2 linked regions of the Mytilus edulis genome follow. The protein of the gene in region 1 interacts with the protein of each later gene in a pairwise test. Links are inferred from orthologs where the notes say so. Each region holds a gene or a part of one and is shown in the gene's direction. Other genes may lie near its edges.

Region 1 (11,499 bases):
GAGATAAAGTCACAACAAACTTTAAATGTAGAACTAATTTCAATTTGTTAAGGGCAGAAATAAAAATATATCCAATGTTATAAGCTGACATGATAAGAAGAAATACATGAAGAAATTAAAAAAAATACTCTGATTAAAATAGGAAAGTGCATAATTTTGAAAAACTTTAGTAGAAGTTTGCATATTAATATAAAAGGGTCTACTGCAAACCTTTATGAAAAGATTTGTTAGTTGTTTGTCTCTGAAAAGATGTGTTAAAGAAGAGTATGTATACAGTCATAAATAACATCTTTTTGGAAATAAAAGCAATAGGTTAAAATAGGATAACTTTGGTAGCTCAAAAGATTTAGACTTTCTTTAGTTTTCTAAATTCTATTTCTTATAATCCTTGTAGTTTGCAAAGATTTTGCTTTCTTTTTTATGAGGAATTTGAAACTAGTTATATTTACTATCAAAAACAGGAATAAAATTAGAAAATTTGTAAAAAGGGATCTTATATGAATCTTGCTAAATTTTGTTCATGTTGACTCAAAATTTCAATAGAAGATCAAAATGTATCAGTAAGAATGGTAATACACTGTCATTGCACTGTAGACAACAACCCAAATTTGACCCTGTGGTGCATATAATATTATTTGGAATAGTTCCTTTGAGTTACCAAAGATTTGTAGTGACAAGATAAAAGCATTATTAGAGCTAACACATTCTATTAAAATGATCCTTTATTTCTACTGTGAAACTTATATACATTAGGGCTATTCCAGAAAAAAATGTAGGGGGGGTGGGGTGGGGGGGTGGAAGGCACATTATATTAATAATACATGGGTGGTGGGTATCAGACTAACTTTTCACACTATAATGCACTATAATTCTCAATTACAATTGTCTGGGTGGCTGGTGCTGACAAAAACTGCCTTCCAACCCCCCCATACATTTTTTTCTGGAATAGCCCTTAATGAAAGAATACAAAGGGTATAGATATATATGCATGTACTGATGTATACTTTTTACATAAATGTGCATATGTGTAATTACTTATATTTTATTTACATTTGGTGATTTTCAACATCTGCAAAAGAAAGCTGTACTGAAACATGGTTTTACTGAAAATCATTTAAGCAAATAATTGTAAAAAGAAAATCTTGATTTCTTCAATAGACTCAAGCTTAAATCTAAAAACTTGAAATGAGAATAAAATTCAAAGGGTTGAAAAAGTTGCCTTTTTCTTTCTGAATAACATATCTAAGTATCTGAGTATTATTACTGTTGTATAGCAGGGCCTATTCTTAGCAGAGTAGAGTAGAGACAAAGTTAACTGAAGCCATCTTGCATCAACATATATTTTTTATTTTTTAAATACACATCATAAATTGCTAAAAATCTAAGCAACAAAATATCTCTTCATTATGATGCTTTATAAATCTTTAAAACTACTGCAAAAAAATAATATTAAATGTTGGTTCAAAGATAACAAGATACACAATGAATAAGGTAAAATGAAAGCTGACTCAACTGATTAGGAATTATATCAAATTATCCAACGTACCAATGTACCAACCTACCAATGAACCTGTAGAAGACTTACATATCATTCTGGACATCTCTGTGTTTATTGATAGTCTTGTCACAAGCAGGACAATGTCCTTTCATCAACATACAGTCGTTTATGGCTATGTCTTGTAAACTATCATTATTTACTGAAATTAATAAATAAATAAACAAATCCTTACAAACAATTTAAATATCAAATCTATTCCTGAAAATAAGATAACTATACAGTTCTATATTTCTAACATTTTTGCAAACATGTTTTTTTACTACTTTAACTTCTGAAATGTTCATTATATTAGTGAATTGATAGATTCAAAAATTTTTATGAACTTCTGCATTGGATTGCTGTCACTTATCTCATGTTATTCATATTCATAATAATGTGATACCTTTACAATGAAGGCTTTTCAACAACTGTCTTTATAATGACATTATAACAGTTATTGTATGTTTATGTTGTTTGAATTTGTCACCTTAAAAAGTGTTAACATTTTCACTGTGTTATTATTCTAATGTCAAGAAGCAGTTCAGAGTCATGCCATAGGTATAGTCAGATTTGCAAGAAAAATCAATATAGCTTTAGAATTAGAAAAAAAAGTTGTAACCTTTTTATTTTGCTTAAACATGATAAGAAAAGTTAATGTTTGTAAAGTATACAACTAAAATCAGTCACTAATGTTCTTAAGTCTTTAATTTACAAGGGACCATTACTGGCCTCATCTTTGCTTTTGTATAAAACCAACAATGAAAAAAAATGATTTTTTATGAAAAATATTTGTTTTGGACAATTTTGTGCACTTTACACACAAATGGGCTACAGTATCATGATTTTTATTCTATTACATTTCAAAACATGTTTAACCCCACCATATTCTGTATGTGCAAGTAATTCAGTGGTTGTCTTTTGTTGCTGTGTTACATATTTGTTTTTCATTCATTATTTTGTTTATAAATTAGGCTGTTAATTTTCTTGTTTGAATTATTTTACATTTGTCATTTCAAGGTCTTCATAGCTGACTTTATGATATTGGCTTTGCTCATTGTTGAAGACAATACATTGACCTATAATTGTTAATTTCTGTGTCATTTTTGTCTTCACTTACCACTGAGAAAAATCATAAATTGTCCAGAAACATCTTTGTACTTCACTTGAAGTTTTGGTGGCTGGTGAATACGTAAAGTTCTTGAGACTAAATTGGAAACAAAACATAAATTAAAACATTTTCAAATCTGAATTAAATATTCCTTTTCCACCAACATTGCAAAATCCATTTTCTGTTTTTATTATTTTGTTTTAATCCTGAATATGCATTAATTATCTGCCACTGGACATAATTCAAGGAGTTTTGTGGTTTATTTTGTAATTTCATACATTGTTTTCTTTTTCTTTTTATGCATGTATTTCAGTGTACAAACAATGTTGTATATATAATGTATGTATCTTTTTTATGATAAGGATACAATGATAGTTTGTCTTTTGTTCCTATAGATGGCTAATGGAAACGTTGTGTGCTTAAAAATTATTTTTGTGAGATCATTTGATTATTGTACCATATATGTGTATGTAACTGTTGTAATTAATATGACGCTGATGCATTGAAAATCTAATGTAAAAATGTTTAATCTTTAGCCTGTTTTGCTTTTAAATAAAGTATTATTATTAAAAATCAAATACCTGACTTTTGAGTATAAATCTTTTCTTTCTCTGGTAAAGGTTTAATGTCATCAACCTTCAACAAGAAATCACTTTCTCCTAACATTCTCTTTGGGCAAGGTATTGGCTTGACAATGGACACTGTCAAATAAATTTTTGTATCGCACGATGAAATATTATTTACTGTTGCTTCCAATGGAACAATAAATGTTTTGTCATCAACAAAATAAGGCTTCTTCTCCTGAAATTAGAAAACAATAAAGTAAAGTGAGTTCAAAATAACTCACATTAGCATGTGTTTTTAACTGCATTTAACATTGATCAAGGTCAATAGCTCAAAATTACAATGCAGCAATAGTGGTTTTGGTTGAAATGTGTAATTTATATATCTATCTTCATTCTTCACAAGACACATACATGACATATACACATTTGAACATGTGCTTGATATTTTGTATAAAATATCACATTATGTACATTAATTGTATGTTTTCCACATTTTCTTTTAATATATATTTTTTCTCCCAAAAATGAAGGAAAATTCACAACGCATGTATGGTATTTTAAAGCTTCAATAACATGAATAAGAAAGCAACTACACAACATAAAATCACTGATAATAGATCTATATAAACTTTGGTAATTTGTTCGGAATTCATGAGGAATTCTAGTATTTACTTCTTTAATACATTTTTTAACAATACCACTGGACACTTATCAAATGACAATCAATCATTTTATAACATTCCCTAATGATTTCCATAGAAAACACCTATATTGATGGTTGGAGCCAGTCCATGAATGTTTATATGGGGACAGAGTCCCCAATAACAGTAGAAAATTCAATAAAAAAAAATACGGGAAAATTTCCCGAATTTTTCATTGTACTAATGAACTCAAAATCGTTCAAATTTTTTTTGTCATGTTTTGAAATCCCGGACCTGCGCAGAAATGTACAATGTACTTCCTTTTTCCAGTCTCGTTTGTATGAAACTTTGAGTAAAATATATATTTATTAGTCTAGTATAAAATAGGAAGGAACGCGCAATACCAATTTCATTTTTAATAATTCCTTGATATGAAAAAACGTTACCTGATGATAGCGTTTCTTTGTTTACATTGCATATGACGTCATAATTTAAATAACGTCACAACTAAATCCCTAACAACAGAACCAAAATCGGAAACGTTACGGTATTTCCGTTTCTTTTTTTTAAAACAAATATTTAAGTTACAAAAAAATAATTCATACAGACTTCGTCCCCATTTACAGGTAATGCCTGCCTCATATTATTGACTAAAGTAGCTGAATTTATCTGAGCAACATGGAAAAGGCAACTAGTGCAGCAGGAGCTAACACTTTTACCAAAATAACAAAGTTTTTTTTATGTTTCTTTCTGATCAATCTTGAGTTTTCTCTAATGTGTTTCTTTAAGCCATAGATTATTATAGTATTAATGAATGGGTGTTTTTATAATAGCCCTGTTATATGTCCAAGGTCTGTAATAATGGTTGAGGAAGTCTGTAATGGCCCGAGGCAACGCCGAGGGCTATTACAGACATCCGAGGCAATTATTACTGACCGAGGACATATAACAGGGCCATTATAAAAACACTCATTTCTTAATACATTTATTAACCAACTGATCAAAAGTGTATGTGTTTGTGCTAACTTGATGTACTGTCTTACTCTTTTAATGACAATTTAGTTTGAACAAAATAATTTGTACTTCACCATTATAAAGCTTTAAATGTACCAAATATCCAAGATATTAAGTTGAAAGAGATATGTGTTAAAAAACAGGATGAACAGTGATCCCTTTATATGGTTTTTTAATGTTGGTTGCTGGTTACTAAATTGAATAAAATACAAAAAGGTATTATACTCTTTACAACTTAGTTTTATTAACTTTATTAAAAACCCTAACAGGGCTTAATACAGACAAACTGGGCATTAATACAGGGCCATTACAGAAAAACAGGGCCATTACAGACAAAACAGGGCCATTACAGAAAAACAGGGCCATTACAGAAAAAACAGGGCCATTACAGAAAAACAGGGCCATTACAGAAAAAACAGGGCCATTACAGAAAAACAGGGCCATTACAGAAAAAAACAGGGCCATTACAGAAAATATGTAATTTTTAATAAACAGTCACTTTTGGCAATAATGCACTTAGTTGGTTAATAATACTTTTAACAAAACTTCTTGTTTTTGATACAAACTATATTAAGGATCCAGACAAAGACTATTTTTTATATAATTAATTGTATTTACCAAATGAATATAAAATATGTTAATAAATATAACCATTATATGGAGACGAAGTCCCCAATTACGGTAGAAAAATCAATAAAAATTTATAAAAAATCTAAAATTCGGGAATATTTCCCGAATTTTTTATACTACTAATGAACTCAAAATCGTTAACTTTTTTTTTCAGATCTACTTCCGTTTCCGGTCTTGTTTGCATAAATAAACACAATGTGAAACCTGGAAAGATTTGTTCTTTAAAAAGATGCATAATTCCAAATACATGAAATATTAGATTTCATTGAAAAAATTAATTTGTATTTCTCTATGAATAAAAAGTTGCAAAAGACTTATCCAGAACTTGAATAATTTGTGAGATTGTAACCTCTGTCTCTGAAAATCACTATTTTCTGAAAAACAATCACTGATACCTAAATTTTTGCATCTTAAAGTTGTTTGTCATTTTGTATATGTTCCAGACCATATGAGTATTTGGACCGTACGCGTACGGTCCGGACCGTATATGTATACTCGTACGGTCCGACCATACGCGTACGGTCGGACCGTATGAGTATACGCGTACGGTCCAGCTGATCATACGTTTTGGGATCATGTGGGTTAAATTTAAACAAACATTTATCAAAATCTTTATTTTTAGTTATACAAATTGTTATTATTACAAAATAGCTGGCCGATGATAAAGTGAATAAGCGAACAATTGAAATTAAATATTTGCTTAATTGTATATCCGTGAATTATATTTTGTTACTCTGGCCGAAGGTGACACTTGCTTCTAATAAGAACTTCGTATTTTTTACATTTACATGTTTTGTTAATGCATGTTCCTTTGCGTATGCATTTCTTTTGTAAAGTTCATAAATATTCTAAAACAATTGTCCTCCCACATTATGTTTACTTCCGATATCTTCAATTTCAATGAGCATACTGAGCTGCAATTAATGAATAACTGGCCTGCAAAATACAGGAGATTAACAGATTAAATAAGCGTGATCTTTTTAAATAGTTAAAATATTAAGTTTTTATGTCAAATGCTGTTGAACTTTTTATATTAATTGGAGATATAAGTCATGTTGATCTGTTATATACATTTGTATCTAATAAGCTTGACCAACTTCTTAATATCTGTCAGACCGTACCCGTACGGTCCGACCGTATGCGTATTTTGAAAAAGTACGCATACAGTCCAGACCGTACGCGTACGGTCCAAATACTCATACGGTCTGGAACATATATACTAATCAATAAGACACTTGAAATTGTTCCCAATTAGTCCAAATAAGTTTTTGGATATTAAACTTATATGACAGCCCATTTTATTTGAAGATTCTTTGATACATGTAGGTCTTACAACTTTAGAAAATCAACTTACATGTAGTTTTAAATGTGTTTTTGTGTCAGCTGTGCTTTTAAACACATTGCACAAAAAGTAACTTTTATTGTAAGACAGTTCATTTTCGTCGATATTAGGTATATTTTTTGCAACGTGGAAATTGACGTGTCCATAAAGATTTTCAATTCTTTTTTTCCATTTATTAATGTTCCCATTCAAACACGAAGGAAAATTAACAATCACATTAACAAGATACGTTTTCCCAATATTTACACACTTAAATTTGTCACTGTATTGCACATCACTTCCATTTTGTTTCTGCTTCTCAAATATATGCAAAATTATGTTAGAAAGATCAGCATCTTCTTCCATGATCTGTGCTGTCTGCTAAAATCGTAGAGTACAGTGGTATTGCACCAATCAAGAAGTCCTTTCCCGAGACAGGAAGTCTAATTTATGACTATACAATTAATTGAAATTTGTGTTATTTGTGATTCATTTTCTTTTTCTAGTTTTAAATTATTTATAAAGAATACATAAAGAAAACACCGTATCACAAAAACAACTATCAAAATTGGTCGCAAAGACGTGGGAAGCTGTATGAGGATACTATCTGTTCAGTACTATCCTTGTAAAATCAAAACTTCCGGTTTCAATTTTCACATGGGTTGCATTGATTTTTAAGCCCTGTAAACATTTATTGGCCATTGAAAATGGCAACTTGGTCAATGAACCAGTATTTTCAAACAGTAAGTTTATGTTTTATAGGAAATGAAAAAAATCACTTTGCTCCTTAAAATATACTTGTTTATATTTAAACTGGAAAACAATTTTTTTACAAAAAAGAAAGAGTAAAAAATTATACATGATATATAATATATAAGAAAGACAAAGTGCTGACAAAGTTGTCCAAGACATAAAAAACATGGCTAAACAATTTAAGGTTCATCATAACAAACGGACAAATATGGCTGTATTTACATGCCAAAAATTACTCTGAGTACAGACTTACCTGTGCAGTTGGAAAAGTTTTAATGCCTGGCATCAACTAGATATAATAAAGTTAAATGCATTTTGTGTTTCAGAAAGATAAAATCTCTTTTGGATTTTTCCTTCGTGCAAAAGTTCTGAAAATTGACTAAGTTGTGGTACAACTATGAGATGCTCCCTCAGGTAAAAAAACGGTTTGTATTGTTTTGATTGTCCTTAATTGGCGGTATCGGGATTGTTCGTCCTGATTACATGTTCGCCCTAGGTTCGTTCGCACTGAGTCTGTTAGCCCTGATAGTCCGTTCGCCCTGGGTTCGTTCGCCCTATATTCATTTTATTTATGATATGTATATATTACATTAACGAACGAAATATATATATATATTTATATATTGAAATTCATGTATATCTATTAAAAGTTAAATACAGAATATTTGCCAAATTTATATTAATTAAATAAAGTTCTTGGCTGCATTGTTACACTTTATTTTATAATTACTTTTAATTACTGTTGATTGAATTTTGATTGCTGATTATAAGGTATCATTTGAAATCTTTGATATCACTGATTGTTATATGAATTGTCTTTGATGGATTAATAATGAAAATAACGTTTTTCTCAAATAAAATAGTCAGCTTGGATGGGTAAAAACACTGATGACAAGTGATCAATGTACAGCAGTGTGACTGTGTTTTTGGTATTTGTTTCACTTATAGTAATTCATATTAGTGCTTTTAAATATTCGTTTAGGAAATAAAGGTGTGCGAAGTACAGTTCGGAATTGATCTTGTATAACTGTTACTGAATATTTTTATATTGTTAAAATGTATCAATAAAGTTAAATTTAGACTTAGTCTTTAGTTGTTTTATGTCAAATATTTTGTAGTCTTTGAATTCACAGAAACTTATCCTCGTAGCAGCTTGAAGACAACAAGTCTTCAGTTGTTTCACATTTAAAAATATTGTAAATATTCGACCAAATTGTAGACTGACTTCACCAAATTCAATTATATACACACAACGCAACACTATACTAAAAAATAAAATCAGGGCGAACGGACTCGAGGCGAACAGGTATTAGGGCGAACAGAAACTAGGGCGAACCAGAATCAGGGCGGACGGACCCGGATTCTTAATTGGCATGGACAAGAGGTATCTTCACAACTGCAGTTGAGATAAAGAGTTCGTCTGAGTCAGTGAGTGGACAGTATCAAAGTAATGCAGGTGTTTGTTTATTTTTACACCTTCTGCAGAAAGGAAAAAAATGCCCAGCAAAAACCAAAAAAGATTTTATCTTTCTTTAACACAAAATGCATTTAACTTTTATATATCTAGTGGATGCTAGGCATTAAAACTTTCCAAACAGCACAGGTAAGTCTGTACACAGAGTAGTTTTTGAGGTGAAAATACGGCCATATTTGTCCAATTGTTATGATGAACCTTAAACAAAAAGACAACAATTTTTTCTAAAAAATGGAACAAAAACTACTTGACCATCACCATGATCACTGACAACTGACACTGTAAGCTGACTGTTAATATGAGGCAGGCATAACCTGTGAATGGGGAAGAAGTCTGTATGAATTATTTTTTTTGTGACTTAGATATTTGTTAAAAAAAAAAAAAAACGTAAATACTGTAACGTTTCCGATTTTGGTTCTGTTGTAAGTGATTTTACTTGTGAGTTATTTAAGTTATGACGTCATGTTCAATGTAAACAAAGAAACGCAATGCATCAGGTAACGTTCATTTATATCAAAGACAAAGAATTATTAAAAATGAAATATTGGTATTGTGTACCTTGAGTTCCAATATTTTACTAGACTACACAACGAGACCTGAAGAAGGAAGTTGATTTCTGCATTCTGGGCAAATGTGGGAATTAAAAAAAGGGACAAAAAGAATTTGAACGATTTTGAGTTTAGTAGTACAATGAAAATTTCAGGGTTTTCCCGATTTATTTTTTATTGATTTTTCTACTGTAATAGGGGACTTCGTCCCCATATGAATTGCCAAATGTTTAAATGTTCTACATATATTTAAAAAAATGTTAATAAGTTGTATAGCTAGTCATGCTAGTGTCAGTTAAATTTGCTTCCATACAGTTGGTTTTTTTCCTCATAGTTCTTCATTCCTGGCTTCAAAGCATTGAAAAACTAATGAAAACACAAAAGGTTCAAAATAGGGATCAGAGAGTGATCAATAGATTATCTCACAACTGCTTCTAGTGACCACACATTTATGACATTAAGATTTGTTGCTGGAAAAGATTTATTTAGAATTTTGGCTTTACACAAACATGCCTAATGTTAAACAGTTTATATGTAACCATCTTAGAATATTCAATATAAGAGATAATGACAAAGTATCTTTATTTTTAGTTAGATGATGCCTTACAAGAAAGAGATGGGTTGAAAACAGCAGTAAGTTATTGATTTTAGATGTAAATCTATTTTTGTAACAATTTCTGAGCAATAGTTAACAGAATATGTCCCTTTTTTACATGTAACATGTTGAAAATGAAAAAAGTTAATGTGAAATAGATTTTGATAAATAAATTTAGACAAGATGAGAAAAGTATTTTTCCTATTTTGCACATTAGCTAAAGTTTTTCATTACTCTTTTCTTTTCAATTTCATTTTAGTTTTTGCATGTGTGCATGTGAAGAAAAATTATTTAAAGTTATCAATAATTAGTCAATTTTTATACGCCTGTCAAAATTTTGACGGGACATATTATGGTATACAAATGTCCGGCGTCCGTCCGTCTGTCCGGCGTAAACATGTTGCACCGTAACTTGAGAACGACTTATCCCAATTTCATGAAACTTGATATTGTTGTTTCTTATGATGGTCAAATGATCTGTATACTATACTTTTTGATGAAAATTAGATTAAAACTTTTTGAGTTACCGGACTTTCTAAATAAAACAGGGGTGTGTTTTTTCCCATGTCCCGCCGTATCTCAAAAACAATTTATGATAATTGATTAAAACTTTACACACTTCTTAGTTATATTAATCTTAAGATCTGTATACTTTTTGGTGATGATACAAAATTTCATTTTTCAGTTATTGAGTATTTTGTAAAAAAGGAGGGTTCACATGTCACGCCCTATCTCAAAAACAATTTATGCTTATAGCTTTAAACTTTACACACTTCTTAGTTATATTAATCGTAAGATCTGTTTCCTTTTTGGTGATGATTCAAGATTTTATTTAAGAGTTATTGAGGGTTTTTTTGTTAAAAAAAATGTGTTTTCACATTTCGTGCTGTATCTCAAAGACAATATATGATTATTGTTTAAAACTTTACACACTTCTTAGTTATAATAATCTTAAGATCTGTATACTTTTTGGTGATGATTCAAAATTTTACTTAAGAGTTAATAAGTTTTTTGTTAAAAAAGGTGTGTTTTCATTTCACATGTCACCGTATCTCAGAAACTTATAATTTATGATTATTGCATAAAATAACGGGTGTATCATGCGCTCATGGCACAGCTGTTTATTGAACTTGTTAATGTACTGTACCCATAGTTTTTATGGTGAAGTACCAAAATCAATCAGAAGTTTTTAAAAATCTACAGCTAAATAATGAAGAAAAATTAACCAATGAACAGAATGAACCATTATGCAATCAATTTATTATATTTTGTTTGACATTTTTTCCAGGAATTACTGTCATTCCAACATCCA
Region 2 (11,334 bases), on another chromosome or scaffold:
TACACAATGTATCACCTTATTTTGCTCTTTAAGTTTTTACAAATCTCATTTTTAATCTGTACATTGATTGACTTTGGTGGCCTTTGACTGTTTTCTGCTTTGGTAGGGTTAATGTCTCTTTGAAACATTTCCCATTTACCATTTTAATTTTATTTAATTGCTTACCATTTTTTATGTGGTCCCCTCAGTCTCTCCAGCTCTTGTAATCTTTTCAGTTCTAAGTATCTATCTTCCTCAATGCGTAGTCTCTCCATTCTAAGTGATGCCAAGTCAGATACAAATGGAGATGTGTATAATGGTGATGACTTGCCTACAACATACATTTTGTAGTCATATACATGTAAAGTTTAATATTTCTATAAGAATAATTCTGCACTGTTTTGTTATTAAAACAAAATGGGCTAAAATTGTCATTTATCAGGAAAAGAAAGAATTATTTCGTAAATAGCTTCTGTTCACGAATTGCAATTATTTTTTTTTCTAAAATATAAGTTCTCATTTTATGGAGTGCATTTGAAGTTAGTAGACTGACTGGGTGGCTATTTCTATTGAAACAAATTTGTTAATAATGTATACATTTACATCCAAAGTTAGATGTACATGTAGATAAGGCCACACCAATTTAATTTCTTGTTCTACCGATTTTTGGACTCCAAAATTTGGGGCGAGCGAGCGATTTGAAAATTTTAATAAAAAAATATTTAATTTGAAAATTTTTGAGGCGAAGCTTGAAAAGTAAAGGCGAGCAATTATAATTTTTTTTTGTAAACATAAAATAGTAGGTTTTGACAATATTAAAACTTGATTTATCACTTGTACTTTGACATATCTTTAATTTCTGAAGTATTTTTGCCCTGTTCACCAAGAAATAATTAAATCTGGTCTATGTATGTGTAACTGACAATGAGACAATTCTCAATCCAAGTCATAATCAGTTTTGGGGCAACCCCTTAATGTTATAAATATCCCTTTTACCGTACATGTTTTATGAGGGATCAATATATAAAAATATAATATATTTGTTTGTACAAAAGGGCTCATATTTTCTCAAAGAACTATATATCTATCTGGTATTAAATGGTCAAAACATGTCCAAGAATTTTTGTAATATTCCTGGACTTTAACCATGTTAACACATTTACTTTAACAGTTTAATATTATTCAAAATAAGTGGACCCCTCTTTTAGAAAAAGTTGTTTAACATATGATGTACTAACTTTCCTCTTTTTGAGTACAAAATTCTAAGTTTTCAAAGGTTTTGTATAGAAGAACTATACAAATCCTTGGTATTTCTATTTTCTTTTCTACATCAGTAAAATGACACTTTGTTCTCAACCTGATAATAACAAACACAGGTCAAAGTACGGCCTTTTACACAGGGCTTTGATACAGACCAAACAGCAAGCTAAAAGGGAGTCAAAAATTATTAGCGTACACAATTCAAAAAACCAACGATCTAATTTATATATCCGAACCGGAAAATACCAATGAACCACATCAACAAATGATAACTGCTGAACGACAGGCCCCTGAATCAATCAGGACAGGTTGCATAAACATGCAGCGGCTATGGATAGTTTGTTTCGCCAGCATACAATATAATTGCAGTTGAAGGCAAATCCTTCAGAAGTTCTTTGTACTTTATTCTAACAACGAACATATTTTGATAGGGAATATTAGTAAGGGGGAAAGAAACCATTTTTTTGTTCTTGAAAGGTATTCCCGCTGTTATAAATTTACATCGGAGCACTCTCACTTTTGATAAATAGGTTTCATGCTAAAACAAATATTCTCACAGATATTTACACAGTGTGGTGGGGTGCTTTTATGTTTAAAATCGTTATATACAGGTTAGACTGTTATTTTAAAAACAAATGTTGATATCTTTTTATAATATTTACAAAAAAAAACGGTGCGGGGAATGGACATGATTACATTTCCGGATGCGGGAAGCGGGAATATAAAAAAAAAAAAAAATATTCTGTTTTGAAAAAAATAGGTGCGGGCGGGTCCGTCGAACAAGGAATCAAATTGGTGTGGCCTAAAAACAGACTAAAAGAAAGAAAGAAGATTAATTCTTACGTGTTGCAGGAGCCTCTGAACCCAATAGGTACATAGAATTGACACTATTTGGCTCATAGCTAGTCTTTACATATGATTTTGCTGTTCTAGGTCGTGGCTTGTTTTCAAGTTCTTCCAACTTCCTGTCTAAATCACTAAGTTCATAGGAGGCCTGTAATGTCACAGGAAAAAACTTCAATCCGTTTGAATCCCTATATTTCAATGAATAATTTCTTTCATCATCATTAAGCTGTCTTGTATCTTGAAGGGCTAGAGCAGCACCTAACGTTCCACTATTCTTTTGAGGTGACCTTGACCTTGAAGATGCTCCATATCGTGGCGATAATGAATATTCCTGACGGCTTAAGTGAACAGGTTTTGTATACCACAATTCCTTACCATCATCAACAGGAAGACCTCCAAAAGATTCAGTAAACAGCTTCCTGTCTCTAATTCTGTCATATTCTTCTTCTAAAGGAGTTTTGTGACTCAAACTGTAAGGCGAGTGATGACCAGAAAATGTCACACTTCTTCGCAATGTACTGTCTACATTTTTGCTAGTATTTTCCAAACTTTTGGCAAGATCTCCTAGTGACTCTGCATATTTTCTGTCGCGGTAATTATCCTCCTGATCTAATATGTGTTGACTTAATCGTGATGTTGTGTTTGTAATTCGAGAGTTCCTCAATCCTAAAGGCTTTTCACTGAAAGGACATATAAAAGAGAAAACTTTAATTATCAGGTGGCAGTTACATGTAATATTAGAGTGTATACTTTTACGTATTTTAAAAGTGATCAATAATATGGCCATTGATTGTTGTACTTGTGTTTTATTTGGCACGAAATTATGTTACATTTTATTGTCAAGAGTCCAATATCTTGGACATACACATTTCATGCATGGTGCAGCTTGTAACTTTAGTCAATAATAACAGCATTGTTTGACTCTTTCTTCGGCTTAGTAATCATCGCTGTCTTAGTCAATACCACTGTCCTTAAAGGGACGTCAATATATCACGATAATGACCAGTTTTTCAATAACTATTATGTAATGAAATGTGTGTTTTGACAATTGTTCTTTTCCACATGCTTTCTAAAGCTTATTTTTGATACATGAAGGATTTTTATACATGTACTACAAATATTTTTCAGTTTGAGCCAAACTTTATTTTATTTTTATAAAAATTTGACTTAAAATGAAACCAATTTTTTCTGATGATGTAATTATGTTATGTTTAAATGTAAAACGGCTAAATATGACCACATGGTTAATCATGAACTAAGTATCATCGACTTCTACATACATCTTTATATATATGTTAATGAAAGCAATCCTATCACAGTAGAATACATGTAGGTCAGATCCAAAATTTTTAGGAGGGGTTTGGGGGAATTCCAGGAACCAGTATAAAAGACTTTGAAGGATTCCTTGCTTAATTACATGTAAGGCACCAACACTTCGGTGCCATGATTTTCCCAGGACATCAAGAAATAATTTCCTAAGGTCAAGAACCGATTGATTTGTCAGGAAAAACTTGATTTTACAAGGTGTTACATACTACCTACCATAAAATGGTCGGATTATTCATATCCGACTAAACGGATTAAGACATCCATAAAAATAAGTCTCTACTCGTACTGTATACTACTTAAAATAATATTAAAAGTTTTAAGATAGCTGTGTTTAATCAATCAAAGTGCATTTAACTTCAGGCAATCGATTACCATGTCTTGTGGACGTAATTTTTCAAAAGGTAGACAACCTAATTTGTATACATTTTGTACAAGATATAAAATCAATTTTCTAACTTGTAATTTTATTGAGTATAAACGACCATATAGTATGTACATGTATATAACACCATGTCAAATCAAGTTTTCAGGTGAAAACAATCAGTCCTTGGAAATTTGATTAGTTCTTGCTATCCTATGAAAATCATGGTACATGTACCCCTACCGCCGGTACCTCGAATGACCGAATAACACTGTTAATATCAGAATAACACTTGTAATTCCCGAATAACACTTGTGATTTCAATATTAGCACATATTGGTGACTTTTAAACATTGATTATTAATTAATAGTATATTATCGATGTATTTTATAACTTATAAATGATTTACAGAAAGCAGATAAGTTCATAAAAAACTTTTAAAATTTAGTGTGTACATCGAATATGGCGACCACAGAAATCACAATGGCCGCCATGTTCGATGTACACACTAAATTTAAAATTTTCTTTATGAACTTATCTGCTTTTTGTAAATCATTTTTAAGTTATAAAATACATCGATGATACATTACTATTTAATAATTAATGTTCAAAAGTCACAAATATGTGATAATAATATGAGGCAGGCATAACCTGAGAATGGAGACGAAGTCCGTATGATTTTTTTTTTATGAATGTTAAAAAGAGAAACGAAAATACCGTAACGTTTCCGATTTTGGTTCTGTTGTTAAGGATTTAGTTGTGATGTTATAATGTCATATTCAATGTAAACAAAGAACGTTATGTTTCTGATTTTGGTTCTGTTGTTAGGGATTTTAGTTGTGACGTTATTAAAGTTATGACGTCATATTCAATGTAAACAAAGAAAAGCTATCATCATGTAACGTTTTTTTTTTTTTTTTTTTTATAACAAACAATTTTTAAAAATGAATCCTTTCTTCGACTGATAAATATACATTTTACAAAGTCTCATGCAAACAAGACCGGAAACGGAAGTAGATTTCTGTGCAGAACCGGAAATTCAAAAATTCGACAAAAAAAAATTGAACGATTTTGAGTTCATTAGTACAATTTCCTGATTTTTTTTTTTTTTTTTTTTTTTTTTTATTGAATTTTCTACTGTTATTGGGGTTCTGTTGTTAGGGATTTAGTTGTGACGTTATTTAAATTATGACGTCATATGCAATGTAAACAAAGAAACGCTATCATCAGGTAACGTTTTTTCATAACAAGGAATTATTAAAAATGAAATTAGTATTGCGCGTTCCTTCCTATTTTATACTAGACTGATAAATATATATTTTACTCAAAGTTTCATACAAACGAGACCAGAAAAAGGAAGTACATTGTACATTTCTGCGCAGGTCCGGGATTTCAAAACACGACAAAAAAAATTGAACGATTTGAGTTCATTAGTACATAGCTGCGAAAACGTAGCTCTTAAGGTCCTTTTGATGATTTTTGATATTTGCGGATACTAGATTCAACTGTTGTCAATATATATCAATTAAATTAATTTGCATTGAAGTCTATGGAAAATCTAGAGGATTCTTAGCCGCATCACCTCTCAACATTGTTTACATAACACAAATGCTAATCATTGATTGGTCAGTTACATGTTGTGATGTCACTGCAGATCTGAGATATTCTCATGATAATGATGTTTTGTACAGATTTATGACCCAAAAGAATTGGACAAAGGCATAAATCAAACATTGTCAATGATTCGGAATGGTTTATTTGAAGTTATGTCTACTTGGGATGTAGAAGTATCAAACCAAACCAGTATGACAATAACAGTAAAAGTCCTGTCAAGACTGGTAGCGATTGTTTTGATACTTGAATGTTTTGAGTTATCTCCACTTGTCAGGTGCTTGTTAACCCTTAATTTATTATGCATTAAAGAATATTGTCTACTACTGCTGAGAACGTATATTCAGTTTAATTTTTAAAAAGACCTGTATGAAGCTCTCTGTCCATGTAAAACAAAATCTTCATCGGGGTTAAGGAATTGTTGGCTTCTTGTAAATTCCCGCATGCTGAAATTCTTTTGTTTACGGAAGTAGATAGTTGGATACGACGCATGCGAAGAGCAAAGCAGTGCATCTGAATCTCTGAACCGCTCTAAGAAATTGATTTTTGAACGAACATACAAGTTTCAAGCGCACCTTGATCTCCGGTGTGGACATGCACATTTCCGTTCAACGATTTTGAAAGCGAAAGAAGACCTACGAAACACACTTACCAGACAAATAAAACAATGGCAGACCCCCAAAGATTTGATGGCATGTTGCTTGCTATGGCTCAGCAGTGTGATGGTGGAATACAGGAGGTACTTTAATTCATTTCACACAAATATTGGGTAACATGAAGAAAGTTGTGCTTGGAAGTAGAGATCCCAAATGGTCTAGAATGTTCTGCCTGGCTATCTATCACCCCCTCCCCTTTTCTCTCTCTCTTTCTCTTTAAACGACGTACATATATATATAGCCCCACAGGACGCAATTACGACTGGACACAATTACGAACGATTTCCAATGTTTGCCCTCTTAGATCATATTTATTTATATTTATCAATAAATGTTTTTATAAATAAAAACCCTATTAAAATTCCCTTGTTTTAATGATAATACAATTTATGTGCACTCGGTGAATGTTGATGACGATGACAAAATCATTCTGAAAATATTATAAGAACGGCAATCTGGCCTGCAAGTTATATAAAAAAAAATAAAGGTAAGTGCATATTGCCTTTTATTGTTAATATATTGAAAGAAAAATATCTCCTGATTCCGTTCATATGCGTGATGCCTTTTATCTTGCCCTAATAACCCCACAATTGACGTTTTTTAGACTCTTGTGACCAATTTTATGGTCTGACAAAAGAAAATATGTTAATTTTATTGAAAAGTGCAGAGAACTCCGAAAGAAATGTTGACCTATATAAAAAAGATTCATAGATGAATGATAAGTACACCACCAAAATGGATAAACTTGAATTTAGTGCTCCTTTAAAGGAGGAACTTACATAAAAACAAAAAAAATCAGAAATCTTTCCTTTACACATGACCGAAATTTCGTCTGCAACCACTGCTGAAGTATTTGAAGTTAAAAAACAAACTTGTGCATCTTATTTTCCTATGAAAATGTGTTTGAGATAAAGATTAATGTATGCTTTATCTATGTAGACTCTTGTCATTGATTTCTTCTGCAAGATATATCAATATAGTGCTGTTCGGAATTGGGTCCATATGTGGCTCACTGACCCGTAAAACGAGGTCACGCAAATCTTGCTAAAGTATCCTAACGTGAATAAAAATTTATGTGGAATATGATGCAAAATGGAAAGCCTTCATACAAAATTCTATGGTATAAACAATTCAAGAAAAGTAGTCTACATAAAAAAATATTAATCACAGTTCAAAAATCGTTCGTAATTGTGTCCGGTAAGGCTATAGATATTTACACATGTCTCAAAACCAGGGTACGAATTCTGCTGAGAAAATAATGCCTACACAAAATTGCAGACCTAACATAAAATTTGTTGGGTAAAATGACTTAGTATCAGTATTAATATCGGTTTTTATGACGATTGGCTGTCTTTCGAGGTCACCTTGATGGTTAATTGGGATCTCCTGTAGTTGGTGATCGCAATACTGGTATACACAATTATGTAGCTGTGAATCCGTAGCTCTTAGGTGCCCATGTTATTTTTGGACTATTTGCAGACCTTAGAGCTTCTGATTTTTCCTATTTCAAAATGTTCGGAATTGCGACCCAGGTTCATGTCTCACCTCCGGTATAATGTATTTCCCAAAAATTTATTGTTTATAATCCATGCAAAGCTTGTCCCTATATATAGTTCGTTTTGTTGAATATTTTTTTTTAAGATATGACGTACCTATTTAAGTTTGAATATTCATTTCCTTAAAACTATTATCTAATTATTCCCATTTGTATACATTCTCTGCCTTTTTTGTTCAGCCACATTGAATCTTGTGATGTCACGTGCAAGAAAAACAAGAAAATATAATATGACTAATGATATCTATTTTATGATAAAACTTGTTTTGATTTGCGATTAGAATTATGTGGTTAATCTATTGAGGACTTCCAATAGTTTTTCAGTTGGATGCTACCATTGAATAAATCTCTTAAAGTCTAGTAAAGTGTGAGATTTTATCAATTTTATACTGTAAAGCCTATCAGATTTGTTTCTCTTTAGATATACTGCTCCCAGGTTTTAGTACAAAAAAAAATGTATGTTATAAATCAAATTTGAGAATTTGAGAAAAATTGGTTAACATGAATTCGACAGTTAATGTCCATATAATAATGAGAATAACTCATAATGCATATTCACCTACCAAAATTACAAATGTCAAACTATTCAAACCAGATTTAGCTCAAACATGCAGTTGTCATAGTTTTCCAAAAACTATTCATGAAACATTGACTGTTTGAACAATATTGTTAAGTGTGTAATATTGTTCATGTAGATATGTGTATATATAATTATTCATATTGATTTTCTCATATTTTGCAGTTGATAAGTGCCTTCTTTAGTTTCTTATTAAGAAAGACAGACTTTTACACAGGAGGATTGAGAGGAGATGGAGAAAAGGTAAGACTAGATTTTTCATATAAATTATTTTTTCTAATTATAGAAAGGAATTAATTATGAAATTCTTCCCATGTATTTTTGCTGAAAGTTTTATTTGGGATTGATAAACAACATGAAAAAAATAGACAATAAATGCCATAGGTATATTTTAAAAACTCATAAGTAGAAAAACAAATTGACAATGCCATGACAAAAGAAAGAAAAGGACACAAAGACAAACAAGAGTAAACACAGCAGAGAAAATTAAATACCATGGGCAATTCAAAGGTGATCAAATTCTCACGAAATAATTTAAATGTGGATATGACAGTTTTCTGCTTCAAAATGTCAATTTTTGTTACTGGGACTCATTTTGTGAGCTTTTTACTCCTTGAAAATTGCCAAAAAAATTGCCTCAGTGGATGTCCTACATTAAACCAAGGTTTGCCTTCAGATCATATTACAATATAGATCTGACATTAATTAGGACAGCTTGTTTTAGTTAACACAAATGCTACAGTGAGTAAGAGTAGTTATTTGGGAAAGATTTCCCTTTGAACCCCCTTCTGTTGATAGAATAGGCATATACATTGTATATATGCAGGAGAATTCAAAAGGAAGTCTTACCATAATTGTGTTAGTATAATTAAATTTATGTCTTAATATAAATAAACCATTATAGGTCAATGTATGGTTTTCAACAGGGAGCCTTGGCTCACGCCGTTCTTATACATGATACAGTATGTAGCATAAGTTGTTTTACACAATTCTTTTTCTTGAAATATTTTTCTTAAAATGGAATACACATGCTTTCAGATTTAAGTCTTGACTTTTTTTCAGATGATTATGAATGCATTTAAACGTTACCAAGATATGGCAGAACAAAAAATGGCAGAGATAAAGAAGGAAAAAGATGAAGAGGAACAAAAGAGGAAAGATAGAATTGCCAAGAAAAAACAAAAGGAAGAAGAAGAGAGAAAGAAAATGGAAGAAGAGCCCAAAATTAAAGAAATTACAGACGAAGAAGCTGAAAAAATACAACAAGAAATAGAACAGGTGCTTAGTGTGGTCTTTGATAATGGTTTATTAAAGGGCTCAATGATGGTTCTGAGGATTCAATCTGTTTTCTTTGGTACCAGTTTTTTGTGGATCTAGAAATATATTTACATATGATTTTGTGGCTTTCCCAAAGTCTGCAAACTAGATCTAGAGTATAGAAAAAAATGGTATTTTGTTGAATATTTAAATGACTCCTTTACCATGTTTACCCTTTACAAACAAAATCCACAAAAATTGGTATCCTAAAAATAATAATAAATCCACAGTATTACATGTATACTGAAATTTTAATGGATTTTTCACACTAGAATTCAATCTTATGATTTTAATCTCTAGTTCACTGTTTTTTTTTTTTAATTTTTACTTCGCTTTAATATTCTTTGGCATATTCTTAAGTAAATATTTTATCTAAGACCTAATATATTAAACTCTTCAGTAAGATTTATAGCAAGCTCTTAATTTTATTTTTTCAATTGTTTAACAGAAAAAAGATGATAAAAAAGAAGAAAAACCTGTTGAGGAAGATAAGAAAGAAGAAACAAAAGAGGAAGAGAAAAAGGTTAGATTAAGACTCCTGCCATCTATTTTCAGGCGTGTTCATTATAGTGCTATAAATTAGATCATGTATGCAAAAAAAAGTTACAATATGATGCTTAATTTATACCAAACATAAAAGATGATATGACACCAGTAATACTGATGAAAAATAGAGGGAAGGTATTTGCCAACATTTTTTGGGATACGATTGCTTTCAAGCAATTTGTAGACTTATACCGGTGGCTCAGAGCAATTTCCCTCACGTCAATCGTTTTATTCTAAACATTAAGGAACATCTCAGATTCTTATGATTGTCTTGCTTTAAAAGGTAAAAACAAACAAAGGGATTGAACTTGAACAACTTTCCTATAATGTTCTTTTCATAATCTTCATGTTTGATAATTCCCTCGACTTCGATGCGTGTTTTAAACAACACGGAAAATCAGAATTTATATTTAGTATTGTTATAAATTTAGAAACACGTCAGAGGGAATTCCCAGTTTTGATAAAATGCGAGAGTTCTCTGAATGCTGATAAATCTATTTCTGTCATATAAGAACTGAAGTGGAGTTTTTCTTATATGTTACCGTTATGAAACTGATATTTGAGATTGTACTCCCATAAAGAAATTGAGAACCATCTAGGTCGTTTAATAAGCATTTAATATATCTTGCCCCAGGGTTTGATTTGGAAATTATGCGCATGCGTATAGTTTTCTTGACTTTAAGGTTTTTTTTAGATTGAATGGTTGCTCTGGATTCCCCACTCAATTAATTAATTTATAACTCATGGGATCTTTTCTATGTATGTCTTCTATTGAGGGTTATTGTTGTTGCATAATTTTAAATCATAAGCATCTTTTACATTAAAATAAATATATTCCACATCGTAGAACACCCCCTTCAGGCGAAATGGAGTCTTCCATATTATCGTTTCGAGTTGTCTCCCTTCCGGCAGTAAATTCCGTGAATTCTGAATATAAATAAGACGTCGAGTATTAGCTCGTTCTGTCAATAAACGTCGTATTATATTAAAAACGAATGCAATTTAAACCGATAAATGTGTACGGAAAGGAGCCATGATGACTGACCCAAAGGAAATTAAATAATTAAAGAGTTAGGAATGGGGTTCCTCCTAGAATTAACGTAGGAAAAAAGGTGATAAGATACGAATTGAAATCTACATCTACATCTACATCATACAACGATCCATCAGCACATTGATGACTATACGTCGGCGCATTGCTAACAGACACTTAATAAAATATAATAACCAATGAGTGAAATAAAATACCTTCTCTGACATCTCTCACTCTGAGTCGGTCAGTGACTGCTGTGGAAA

What was found.
Region 2: the proteins of PCI domain-containing protein 2-like (region 1) and nuclear migration protein nudC-like interact in binary tests that used the Drosophila melanogaster proteins (3 or more experiments, as listed by UniProt). The link is inferred for Mytilus edulis from reciprocal best matches to the Drosophila melanogaster genes PCID2 and nudC.

Annotation. Positions count from the first base shown.
Region 1 is NC_092346.1:45,879,050-45,890,548, reverse strand, and holds the start of PCI domain-containing protein 2-like, read left to right. Parts: upstream 1-7,427; 5' UTR 7,428-7,524; coding exon 7,525-7,560; intron 7,561-10,183; coding exon 10,184-10,225; intron 10,226-11,475; coding exon 11,476-11,499. Other genes in the region: trafficking protein particle complex subunit 14-like, read right to left, coding at 1,586-1,697, 2,655-2,741, 3,227-3,446, 6,851-7,183. UniProt on the Drosophila melanogaster protein: Required for the export of nuclear mRNAs and involved in mRNA trafficking in the cytoplasm.
Region 2 is NC_092353.1:36,783,757-36,795,090, forward strand, and holds the start of nuclear migration protein nudC-like, read left to right. Parts: upstream 1-5,893; 5' UTR 5,894-6,054; coding exon 6,055-6,126; intron 6,127-8,340; coding exon 8,341-8,418; intron 8,419-9,237; coding exon 9,238-9,453; intron 9,454-9,940; coding exon 9,941-10,015; intron 10,016-11,334. Other genes in the region: uncharacterized protein, read right to left, coding at 166-310, 2,083-2,765, 5,753-5,832. UniProt on the Drosophila melanogaster protein: Chaperone protein with functions in nuclear localization and cytoplasmic mRNA trafficking.